Linked DNA regions of Oryctolagus cuniculus. The protein of the gene in region 1 interacts with the protein of each later gene in a biochemical or structural test. Links are inferred from orthologs where the notes say so. Each region holds a gene or a part of one and is shown on either strand. Other genes may lie near its edges.

Evidence for each region.
Region 2: the proteins of RGS4 (region 1) and GNAO1 form a complex in vitro, tested with the Homo sapiens proteins (2 studies listed by BioGRID). The link is inferred for Oryctolagus cuniculus from reciprocal best matches to the Homo sapiens genes RGS4 and GNAO1.

What each region holds. Positions count from the first base shown.
Region 1 is NC_091438.1:35,610,721-35,616,790, forward strand, and holds the start of RGS4 (regulator of G-protein signaling 4), read right to left. Parts: upstream 3,661-6,070; 5' UTR 3,541-3,660; coding exon 3,497-3,540; intron 761-3,496; coding exon 656-760; intron 336-655; coding exon 274-335; intron 1-273. UniProt on the Homo sapiens protein: Inhibits signal transduction by increasing the GTPase activity of G protein alpha subunits thereby driving them into their inactive GDP-bound form. Activity on G(z)-alpha is inhibited by phosphorylation of the G-protein.
Region 2 is NC_091449.1:40,103,155-40,109,049, forward strand, and holds the start of GNAO1 (guanine nucleotide-binding protein G(o) subunit alpha), read left to right. Parts: upstream 1-1,936; 5' UTR 1,937-2,027; coding exon 2,028-2,501; intron 2,502-5,753; coding exon 5,754-5,895. UniProt on the Homo sapiens protein: Guanine nucleotide-binding proteins (G proteins) function as transducers downstream of G protein-coupled receptors (GPCRs) in numerous signaling cascades.

The DNA.
Region 1 (6,070 bases):
CTTTTCCTCTCTGCCTTTTTCTACCTGATGATAGAGATGGTTCTCTGATGGTTCCTTTGTGAACTTTCCATTGTACTTCACAAAGCACTAGTGCATGGTAAAATGTTAAACAGACTGGATATAAGACCAAAACGTCATCTTGGGTTTGGAAATCACAATGAACCTTGTTCTTTCTGCAGTTCCTATGAGGCCAGCATAATATGAGATAACCTGCCTCCTCCACAGTGCCTTTAACCTCATCCCATGAGCGGGATAAAAAACCGTCAGACTTACATTCATGGTTAATCAGGTTTTCCAGTGATTCGGCCCATTTCTTGACTTCCTCTTGACTCACCCTAGAGACATTACAGAGAAAAAAAATAGTTTGAATTTATGATACAAAAAACTGGGGCAAGCAATCTAAGACTTAATAAAATGTAGAGATTTTATTTTTTATCATCATGAACAGCTCTATTATTGATTAGATCATGTTTTTTTTTTTTCAGTAAATATGTGGGAAAAAATCTCCAATGTAGTTATGATTTCCATGAACATGGGGGCCATCTTGATCCAAATCTGGCTTAACTAGGGGCATACTTTCCTTCTTTTCTTATACAACTCTCTAAACTCAGATAGTTAAAACTCAATGGGCTTTCATCCAGGCCATTTCTCTTACCTCTGGCAAACAACCACTTTGTCCTTCTTGCTGTGGGAGGAATTATGTTCACAGGAATCTGACTTCTGCAGCAGGAAACCCAACCGATGCTTCATATCTTTTGCACTGCACAGAAGAGGAAAGCAAGGGAATTAACGATGGTAACCACCTGTCTTAAGACACCTAGTGGTAGGCTTGAAGAATTCATTAGTAGCATATAGTGCAGAGACAGTTAATTTAGGGAATAGGAGATGAAGTTGGCATTAATTCTCAGGAAAGCAACACTTGTTTCTGCCAATGAGTTAATGCACAACCTTGAGATGAGAGTCATAACACTGGTTTACTTATCTATAATTGGAATTCTGACCCTTCAATCTGTCTTAGAAGCCCGTTCTGTACACATGCCATTTTGGTGCAACAATGAAACACTTGGTATCATCAATATAACCACACAAGAAGACATGACTGTTCTTTGAGTAATTTTTAGGAGTTAGAAAGCAGCAGTAACTGCAAAATTCGACACCTTTTTGCTGCACGCCCCCTTCTGGTGGTTGGTTGCTATTGTCATCTGTCTCCTTGCAGGCAGAGTAAGAAGCTCCTTTGGAAATTAAGGGTCTCTTTCTTTCCATCCAAATATGTGATGGAACAAGAAATATGTGTTATGGGGTAAATATGGAGTACATACTGAGGTGTGTAGCTTCAGAAATGGAGTGGTTAACGCAAATGCTCAGGGTGAAACCCACGTTCCTTTAGATTAGTTCTTCCAGACAATATAGTGCTGCTATTGCCTTCTTTTTTAATATTTATACACTGAAGAAGCCATCTAGAATCACTCCTGAAACTAGTGATTGCGATTGCGGGCAGAGTTTCTGGTGTATTGCCATTTCATAGGTGACCAGGCTATGTCAGTACTCCTCAGTAGCTCAAAAAGGAGGCCCAGAGATAAGCTTTTACCTCTTCTCTTACACTACCATGTTTTTGCTTGTATCTCTTACTATAAAAGCTACAAAATAGTTAAAAAGAGAAATGATTTTAAAAAGAAATGGATAGCTAAGTGTTCCTACTTGTAGGGGGGAAATAAAGGGTAAAAAGAAATTTTAGAATGGTTATTGATATACTAAAGGTTTATCTATGTCGGCTTCCCAAGAAAGTTTGAATTCCATTAGGTCCTTGGACTGCCCCCTAAATGGTATTTTCTCTTCTTCACATGACTATTTGCCTTTCTCTGCTTTCTCAACTGGTGACTGCACAGGGATTGGGAAATTCTCCTTAATGATAGCAAGATATATTCCTGAAGCCTAGAGTGGTTCTAAGGTGATGGCATGAGTGTATTGTGAGTCAATGTAAATAGAAATTATTCCGTACTACCATGTGCCTCCTCTGTTTGAGATCCCATGGCTATTGACTGCCCAGTGTAGGGTCATTTCCTAATGAGTTGAGAGTATGCACAGAAAGTATCCTTTTAACGTAATAAAACAGTACAAATAAAAACGAAAATCACTTCAGAAGTCACTGGAATGAGGAACTGGATGTGATCTTCACTCACACACCCCGGGCAGTGGGAAGTCCCTCCGGAAGCTCGGGCACTGCTGGAGAAAGTGCTGGACTAGATGATTGACGTTTCCCCTGTGAGGAGGGGAAGAACAGCTACCTACTGACTGTGAGCTTAACCTTCTCAATCAGTTGCTCAGTGCCTCAAGGGCAGACCTCTAGCACAATCTCCCATCTATGAATCACTAAATATTTACTGGAGCATAACTTTTCCCTGACACTTCTGCATTTTGCATGATTAATTTTATATGTGATTTAACTGAAGCGTGGATGGTCTTGCTCTATCCAGTTAGGAAATTAATGGTGAAGGTGAGAGGTATTTATCCCATCAGTACTCTCTACCAGAACCTCCTGCTTCATTACGGAGAATATATCAATACTGTCCTGCTTCTGAATGAAAGGCAAATGGCTTCAAAACACACAAAAGATTATGCTTCTTGGAATTAACTCCAAATTGAAATGTAAGGTGATTGTTCTTTGCAGGGAGACAAGAAAAGAGGTAGTACACTTGCAGATTGACTTTTTACCTTTAGCTGCAAGATTAAGTGATGTAATACGCTCTCATTTTGTATTTTACTTTCAACTGATGAATATCTAGCATTTTCTGAAATCATCTACTTACGCCTATTTAAAAAGACAGAAGAGTAGCTATATATTTTTAAGTCTTTGTTTTTATATTGACAAAACAATCTCTTTAGGATGAGCTCTTCTACAGAACCCTCAGATGACTTGTTATAATCAATACTCCTTAACTACCACTCACATAAGACACTTTAAGAATGAGAGATAAGAACAGAGAAAAAAAGAGACATGTAGCATAGAAACTATTTCATTGTGACATTTGTTTATGAGAATATAGAACGATACTGTAGCCCCAACAGAAAGCATTGTGGCTTTCTGATGATGTAGCACAAGTTCATTCCGAGGTGTCCTCCCCTAAATGAATTTCAGAGAGTCACAGTGCTTGCAATTATCCAGGTATGCTCACATAATGGAGGTGATCACAGATACAGCAAGTAGAGTCAACACCTCATATGATTCTTAATCAGCACTAGCTTAGTTAGAGGACTTGGCTAAAAGATCACAACAGTTTTCAAAACTGAGGTCACATGAAACAACACACTAATATCAGAATTTGGGAAGCACAGTTCTTAAGTCACAAATCAAGTTATTCTTGGAGAAAATCCAGGGAAATATTCTCCCCTGATCAGACTGCTACTCCAAAGAACCAGGTTAGTAAACACAACTAGCAAGTAACTGAGAAAGTCTGTCCAAAAGTTGAACGTAGTTAGTAGCTGAAAACAATCTTACCTCCTCAAGCAGGAAGCCGGCAGACCTGCAAGCCCTTTGCACATCTTGTCTAACAGCGTGGGATTCGCCGAGGAGGAAAGAAACGCAGCAGGAGGAGCTGTGGCCTCTGTTTTGCTCAAGCTTCGGTTTCACTCCTGCAAAGATGCTGCCAGAATCCTGAGCTTCTCCTTTCCAGGCCTGTAGGGGTCTCTTTTATAGCCCGGCCACGAGCGACGAGCCAATCAGATAACAGCTCTGCGGTACCAGCGCCTGTCTCCTCTGCCTCTCCAGCCCCTGGAAGGCAGGAGGAAGAAAGGACTTACGCATCAGCCATGCAAAATGGACAAGCTGGGAAAATCCTCTTCCAAAATAGACATACATGAAAAAAGTGACTCAATATCTCTACAAATGTCTGTGATTTTTAACTTCTAGAGACGGGAAAAATAAAAGTCTACAGTGTTGGAAAATATGGGAGTTTATTCTTTTGTCTGTAAAAACAGTATCAGGGACAACATTGCCTCCGGAACGGAAAGGTGCCAGTAGGAATTCTAAGGCACACTTTGGGGGTTGAATCTCAACACACTTTCTCTTTTGGATGAGAAACATCACATTGTATGTGACCCAATATTTGACCTGCTCGATTTCCAAAAGGCAGGTGGGAGGATCATCGTCTCCGAGAGATGATTTCTCCATTGCAAGACACACGGAGGTGTGGGGAGAAATAGCTAAATGGCAGACAGGAATATGCCTGGCAGCATAGAAAAGCTGGCCCAGGAGAAATAGATTTGCTGCATCTGTCATCAAACTGACTGTAGAATACTTTGCTCCAATTCTTATTAAGAACAGAATTCAGCCCAGCACTGACAATTTCTCCTGTACATGCTTGCCTCCTGCAAAAAGCCTCAAATAGCAGCCTGAGGTCCAGGGCAGCAAGGAGATGAATAAATATAGATACTGATTCTTGTTAGCAACTGTGTTCATGTCTTATGTAATTCTAAGCTTCTAAATTGGTATTTCAAGAGGAAGAAAGGGAGGGAGAGAAGGAAAGACAGAGAAAGAGAAATGCTCCAGAGAGCAGGCAGGCAGAAAAATATGGTTTGCTTTGCCTATTACCTGGCTTCAGGGTTAGCATAAGAATATTCTGCCCTGCAGGTACTTCTGAACACCGAGACTATTAGTATCTTTTGCATGTAATATCATAGACTGAATATTTTAAAGAATCATGCAGGTGTTTCGTATCTTACAATCATAGCTCATGTACACTAGAACTGCAGAGAGTGCTTCTTTGTATCTGAAAGCTGTGAGTACAAGGGGGAAATTAAATACCAAGTCTGACCCAGACAGCTCTCATTTTGAAAGCAGGTAGATTTCTGACCGCAAGCTACAGGGAGCTGTGCTTTACTTAGAAGAAACAGAGATATCAAGTAGTTCAGGTGGGAAAGATGAAAAATAGATGGGAGCCAGTAGAATGCAAAGAGAGTGCGAAGACAGAATGCAAAATGGAAAAGAGCTGTACCTGTATGTCCCCCTTCCCCCATTCATGCCCTTGAAAATCTCAAGCTGCCTCCACTCCCCCTCCCCAGCTAGCAAAGAGATGGTAAACAAACATAAAAAGGCTAAGGACTATAATCTTCAGAGGATGCATTTAGATGGTAGGAAAAAGCTTTGGCCTTCATGCAGGAAGACAAGAGAACATTTATTAGATTAGCTACTGGACAACTTTTCCTTGAGTTATAACACAAAACAAATGAAAGTTGGCAGCCATTCGTGGTGATAATGTGGAAAAAACTGCAGTGTCACATGAATTAAGAGAGCTCGTAAGACCTAGAAAGATGGACCCAGGGATATGAGTCAGGCAAAATTAGCATCAGACAGGAGAGACTAATTAAAAGGGAGAAACGGTTACTCAAAGATGGATCAGGGCTTCTCTGCTTACCTGGGTGCCCAGATGATTTGATTTTCGGACAATGAGTGAGGATCCGAAACAATTTACTGATGTCTGAGAATTCACAGTAAGAATCTTGTGTCTTGTTCCTAGTACAAGAGAAGCTCATTTGTCACAAGTTAAATATAAATTGTTGCAATAGATGAGCTGAATAGGATTTTTAAAGCAATCAGATCTAACCCCTCCATTTTACCAAGGAGAAAATAGAGAAGCAGAGGGGAAATGATTTGCCACAGCTCCTTACTAAGAGAGACAGGTCCAGACTGGCTTCCTGGTCCCAGGTCATGTGGATTTTCTACAGGACTCTCCTATCACTCAACAGTCTTGTCAAACGAGATACACTGTGTAAACAGAGATATTTCTAAATTGCAGAGTGCTAAGCAAATCATTTTTTATTATTAGATTATGCACAGGAGGTAACAGAGCCCCCAGTGTTAACTTCATATATTTCACACAAAGAGGCCCCGATTTTCCCCTCCCTCATGGAAGCAGCAGCTGCTACAGCCCTCATTACATTAACCATTACTTTATTCTAGCATTTCTTATTCATTTATTCCTTTGACTATGACTTCTCATGTTCTCAGGAGTTCTAATACTTTTAAAGAGTGTTCAAAAGCATCTCATAAATTAATATTTTTTTTTTCACGATG
Region 2 (5,895 bases), on another chromosome or scaffold:
CGTGGGATCCTACTGCTCAGAGGCCAGCAGGTGGATCGGCCGGGCCTGGAGCATGCATCCACACCTGGGATCAGGGAACTCGGGCCGCCCCAGCCGAGCTGCTTAGGGAAGTTTGGTTTGGAGTCAGGTGCTTCCCTTCCGAGAGGCTCAGGCTTCAGGGGGATGGAGAACCAGTGCCTGGCAGAAAGGGTGTCGGCAGGGGCGAGTCCTGGGCGCCGCCTCGAGGCTGCTCCCTGCCCGCCCCCTGCAGCACTGCCTGGTGGAGAGCACGCAGGGCTGCCCGAGAGGGCACGGGTGCAGCTCCCGTGGGTCACATCTGGAGTCTGTCCATTAGGGCTGCTCCAACGAACTACCACAGCCTGGGGGGCTTAGAAACAACACGACCCCCCCTCATTCTGGAGGTTGGGAAGTTCAAGGCCAAGGTGTGGGCATGCTTGGGTCTGGGGAGGGGCAGCGCCCTGGGGCCTCCGGTGGGGGCAGCAGCAGGGCTCCCTCTGGTGCCTCTCCCGAGGGCACACATCCCACCCGCGGGGGCTCCACCCTGTGACCTGCCCGCCTCCTCACTGGGGTTAGGGTCGCAAGGTATGAATTCCTGGGGGACACACTCAGACCCCAGCACCCAGCGAGTCTGCCCTGGCCGCACTCCTGTCTTTAGTCATAGCTCAGATGCCTGGACAGCAGGTGTGCTCTGCCTCAGGGGGAGTGCACAGCGGTGCACAGGGGCTGTAGCAGGGAGGATGCTGGGAAACACCCCCTGCTATTGGCCCAGGAGGCGCTCGGGATGGGAAGGCCGAGCTCAGCAGGAGCCCTGGCCCCGAGGCATGCAGATAGGGGGGGGGGGACGAAGGCCTCCTCTGGTTCTGTCCATTGCTTGTTAGGCTGGGCACTAAAGCCCCCCTTCCCTTCCAAGCCTCCCTCCCCCTTGCTCAAGGGGCTGGGCTGAGCGCCAGGGAGGCCTCAGTGCTGGCCTCGGGTGACCAGGCCTTGTCTGAGACACAAGCCCAGGGCTGTGGCTCGGGATGCCGGGGAGAAGGTGGACTTTGAGTCCAGGCCCTCCTGTTGACTAGCTGTGTGACCCTGAGCGAGTCACCCACGCACACAGGGTGCCCACCCCAGTAGGGCGGCTGCGATGTTGAAGTGAGATGCCAGCTTTGTCCAGACCGACAAGATAAGAAGAGGCAGTGGACAGATGGGGGCGGCGGAGTCAGAAAGTGGGGCGTGCCTGGCCTTACAGTGCAGGAGATCTGTTTGCCCTGGCCATGCACAAAGCACTGCAAGGCCCAAGGTGCCACGTGAGGTCGGGACACAGTCCCTGCCCTGAGGACAGGTGCAAGCAGCAGCAGCTGGGACAGGAATGGGTGCACCCTGTGGAGCAGCTTGGCCTGGGGCCAGGGGAGGGCTTCGCTGAGAAGGGGACGCTGAGAGGGAGGTGGGCTGGGGCTGCCCCGGCTCGTTTGGGGAGCGGAAGAAGGACCGGAGCTCTGAGAGGGTTTTAGGACACAGAAAGAGGCAGGGACTTCGTAAGGCCTCAGTGAGGAGTTTGCGAGTTAGGAATGATGGGAACCTATCGGAAGAATTTAAGCAGGAGTATTACTGTACCCATGAGGGTTAGGTTTGACAGTGAACCAGAGACCCTGAAAATAGCGGCTTTGAGAAGATAGAATTTTTTTTTTTGACAGGCAGAGTGGACAGTGAGAGAGAGAGACAGAGAGAAAGGTCTTCCTTTGCCGTTGGTTCACCCTCCAATGGCCGCCATGGCCAGCGCGCTGCGGCCGGCACACCGCGCTGATCCGAAGGCAGGAGCCAGGTGCTTCTCCTGGTCTCCCATGGGGTACAGGGCCCAACCACTTGGGCCATCCTCCACTGCACTCCCTGGCCACAGCAGAGAGCTGAAGATAGAAATTTAAGTGGACAAAAGAAAAACCGTTAAAATAATGCCGGTCTGACTCCAGATAGTGCCGCACCTCCTCCAGCCAGGCTGGTTGGAGATCCTTGTCCCACTCTCCCTAGGATCGGACCTTGTCTTCATGATGCAAGTCGGCTGGAGAGCTCCAGCCATCACACCCAAGTTCTGGGCGTTAGGAGGAGGAAGTAAGAGAAATAGGGTGCCCCTTCCCTTTAAAACCCGTCGCTGCCTTTCAGCGTACATCTCATTGCACAGAACCAGTCCCAAGGACGCCCCGCTGCAAAACGGGAAATGTAGTCTGTGGCCATCAGTGTGTTTCCTTCTTGGGCTTCTTGTCCGGAAGGAGAAGGGGAGAGTTGATGTTAGGAGGAAACCGACAGCCTCTGGCCTGGCGGGAAACAGAAGAGAGGCAGGACGGAGGCACCACACCCCGGACCTGGGAGGCTTCAAGGCGGATCGGTCCGGCAGGGCTCCAGGCCTATGGGTTCCAGAAGCTGGGCCCGTAGCGGTGCCGCCAGATGAGGAGCAAAACAGGAAGCCGAAGGGTGCTGCCGCACAGGACCACGCCCCGGCCCCTGCACAGGGCAATGAGGAGGTGAGGCAGGGAGGAGGGCTCTGGCCCACGGGCTGGGCGGCAGAGTCCAGGAATCATCAAATGCAGCTCCCCCCGCCCCCCCCCCCCCACCGTGGAGGGCATCCATTCCAGTCGCCCCTCAAGGAGCGAGCCCAGGAGCAGAAAGCACAGAGTTGAAGAGAGAACCACACTGCCCCCGTAGCACCATGGCTCTGGGGTGCCCAGCGGGGGGTGTTTCTCCCCTGGCACTTGGATGCTGCCGCCTTCTAACTGGGCTGCCCGAGACCCTGACAGCGGGGCCCCAGGAGGAAGCTTGGAAGACTTGGCCGAGTCTCTGGCCTGGGACAGCACCAGACTGCCCGAGGTCAGCCAGGCACCGGGGGGCAGGGTGGGGGCAGTGCCCTGACTCACAGGCCTCGCTCTGTTCCTAGCCCCAGGTGCAGGCCCCACCCCTGCTCTCCAGCCCACGCCTCCCTGAGTCACCACTGCCTCCCTGAGGCACCCAGAGCCCAGGCCCCACGGCCACCTTTCAGGTCACCACCGCCAGGGCAGGCACTCAGCAGCCCAGTGCTGACCCTGGGGAGCCAGGCTGTCTCGTTGGGCAGCCCCGCATTGTCAGCTGGGGGTGACTTGGGAACCCAAGGGCTGGGCATTCAGGACGCTGTCCCCAGGGAACCGGATTTGAGTGAGCAGGGTTGGCGTGTCTGGCCAGCCTCCAGGCCAGGGGCAACTTCCTTCCCTGGGCAGGCAGGGGCACCACTGCCACAACCCTTCCACTGACCCTGTGCCGTGGACAGACCCTCCACCTGAGTGGCTGTGTGGCCAGCAGGCCTAGAGGGCTTTGCCCCACCCCTTCGATACGGAAACCTGCTGACCACACGCCTGCTGACTTCCCTCCCTTTGTGTCTCTCCCGCCCTCAAAAAAGGCCTGTGGGTTTTCAGTACCTCCCACTCGTGTCCTGGGCCGTGTAGTCTGCCTCTCCTCGGCCTTCATCGGCGGGCTCGCAGTGGACCAATCGTCCAGTGATAACCACTGCACCCAGCCCGAGGACAACACCTCCACCCCAGAGGGCCTGCCGCCCCACTCCCAGCTCCTCCATCAGGTGTCATTGCCATCAGAGGTGTGGGCCCTGACTGCTCTCAGCACGCATAGCTCTGCCCCCAGCGGCGGCCGTGGAGGCAGAAGGCTCTGAGTCTCGAGTGCCAGCTCTGCCAGTCGCACCGTGGCCTTAGCCGAGTGCCTTCCTCTCTGGAGCTCCGAGGCTCCCCACCTATCAAATGGGGATTACGTACTTAGAGTGCTTGGCACTGCTGCGGCAATGCTAACAGGCCTCCCCAAACTGAGTCACTGATTCAGCTGAGGATCAAAGACCCAGGGTGGGTTCAGCTCTGTGCCATGCACCCCAGCTCCTCTTTCTGGGGTGAATGGGGAAGGCTGGGCAGGTTCACAATGATGATATAGGCCCCGAGTACACGGAGACCCCAGGGCTGCCTTAGGGACAAGCTGCTGCCCCCACGCCGTTCCGTGGGCCACGGCAAGGCCTGTGACTATCCTCAGAGTCAAGGAGATGGGAACACCCTCTGCCTCTAGGGAGTGCACCTGCAGAGATTCAGAGAGGGCTGAAGAAACATGCCCATTGCTGCAGCTGCCAGCTCCCTAGTGAGGAAGCGGAATGTGGGGCTGGCGCTGTGGCACAGCCAGGAAGGCTACCGCCTGTGAGGCCGGCGTCCCATGTGGGCTGCTCCACTTCCCACCCAGCTCCCTGCTAATGGCCTGGGAAAAGCAGTGGAAGATGGCCCAAGAGCTTGGGCTCCTTGCCACCCACGTGGGAGACCCGGAAGAAGGTCCTGGCTGTTGTGGCCATCTGGGGAGTGAACCAGTAGATGGACGATATCTCTCTCTGTCTCTCCCTCCCTCCCTCCCCCTCTCCCTTTAACTCTTTCAAATTTAAAAAAGGAAGCAGAATGTTTGTGCCCAGAAGCCCTTTTTGAACCGTGAAGTGCCGTGTGTGTGTGCAAGTGCCAGAGATGGCAGCTGTGTGACTTCCCCCAGAGCCTTGTGAGTCTCCAGCAGGTTTACTTACAGCCGCTGAAAACATGAGGGGAAGGGAGAAGAAGCCCGTGGATTATGCAGAGCCTTTCCTGCAGGCCCAGTGCTGTCCTTGCCTGCACAGTGTACCTAAAGCAGTTCTGCTACAGCCCCTCCCAGAGGGTGGGCCACAGGTCACAGAGGAGTCAGTAGGAATTCATCCAGTCGTTTTATTATGTACACACATACACACACACACACATACACACTCACACACACATGTGGTATGGCTTTGGTGCAAAGTGCATCCTGGTACCTTGTAGAGCTCTATTGTTATTATTTTAAAAGGCAGAGTAACAGAGGCACAGAGAAGGAGAAAGATCTTCCATCCACTGACTCACTCCTTAAATGCCCACAACAGCCAGAGCTGAGCTAGGGTGGAGTCAGGAACCAGGAACTCAGTCTGGGTCTCCCACATAAGCGGTAGGGGTCCAAATACTTCAATCATCGTCTCCCCCCTCCCAGGGTGCACATTAGCAGGAGGCTGGCGGGGAAGCACAGGCAGGACCCCAACCCCCGGCACTCCCATGAGAAATGCAACTGTCTCAGCTTAACCTGCTGCATTGAAGCTGCACCAGACACCAGCCCCTTGAGGTTTGAAGGTGACCTGAGGGCTTTTCACCAGGTGTGCTGGCTTGACCGCTGAGCCCTCTGCCCCGCCCACCCTGAGGTCCCGGGCTACTGTGACCCTCAGTTAACTTTAGCTCTCAAATAACCAGAAACCTCCTCTTTCCCCCAGTGTAGCCCAGTTCTGGGGCTTTTGCGCCACCTTGGGTAAGAAGTGTAGGAAATTGTAACTCTAGCCAAGGATATTGATTTTTAATTTTTCCCCCAAGCAAAAGTAGCGTGCAGAGACCCAGTTACGAGAGTAGGCGAGAGCTGAGCGATGGTGGTTGAGAGGGTGGAGACACAAGCCCGCCGGCCTCCCTTTCCGCTCACGCACACCCTCGGACTCCAAGGGCAGTGGTCTGGGCCCCCTGCGCCAGGGCTTCCACACGGAGGAGGCTCCACAAGGCCCTCGGAGACCAGAGCTCCTGCCTCTCCTGGGTAGCCTGCTGCTGTGCTGGTGGGGGCCTTGTCATAAACCCAGCCCCCGCCCCGTCCCAGCCAGGTGGGGCCCTTGGCTGGCCAGGGGTTTCCTGTCACCGCCAAGGCCTCCAAACCATCTCCGTGTCCCCTCCCAGGCCGACGCCAAGATGGTGTGTGACGTGGTGAGCCGGATGGAAGACACCGAGCCCTTCTCTGCAGAACTGCTGTCCGCCATGATGCGACTCTGGGGTGACTCAGGGATCCAGGAGTGCTTCAACCGGTCTCGGGAGTATCAGC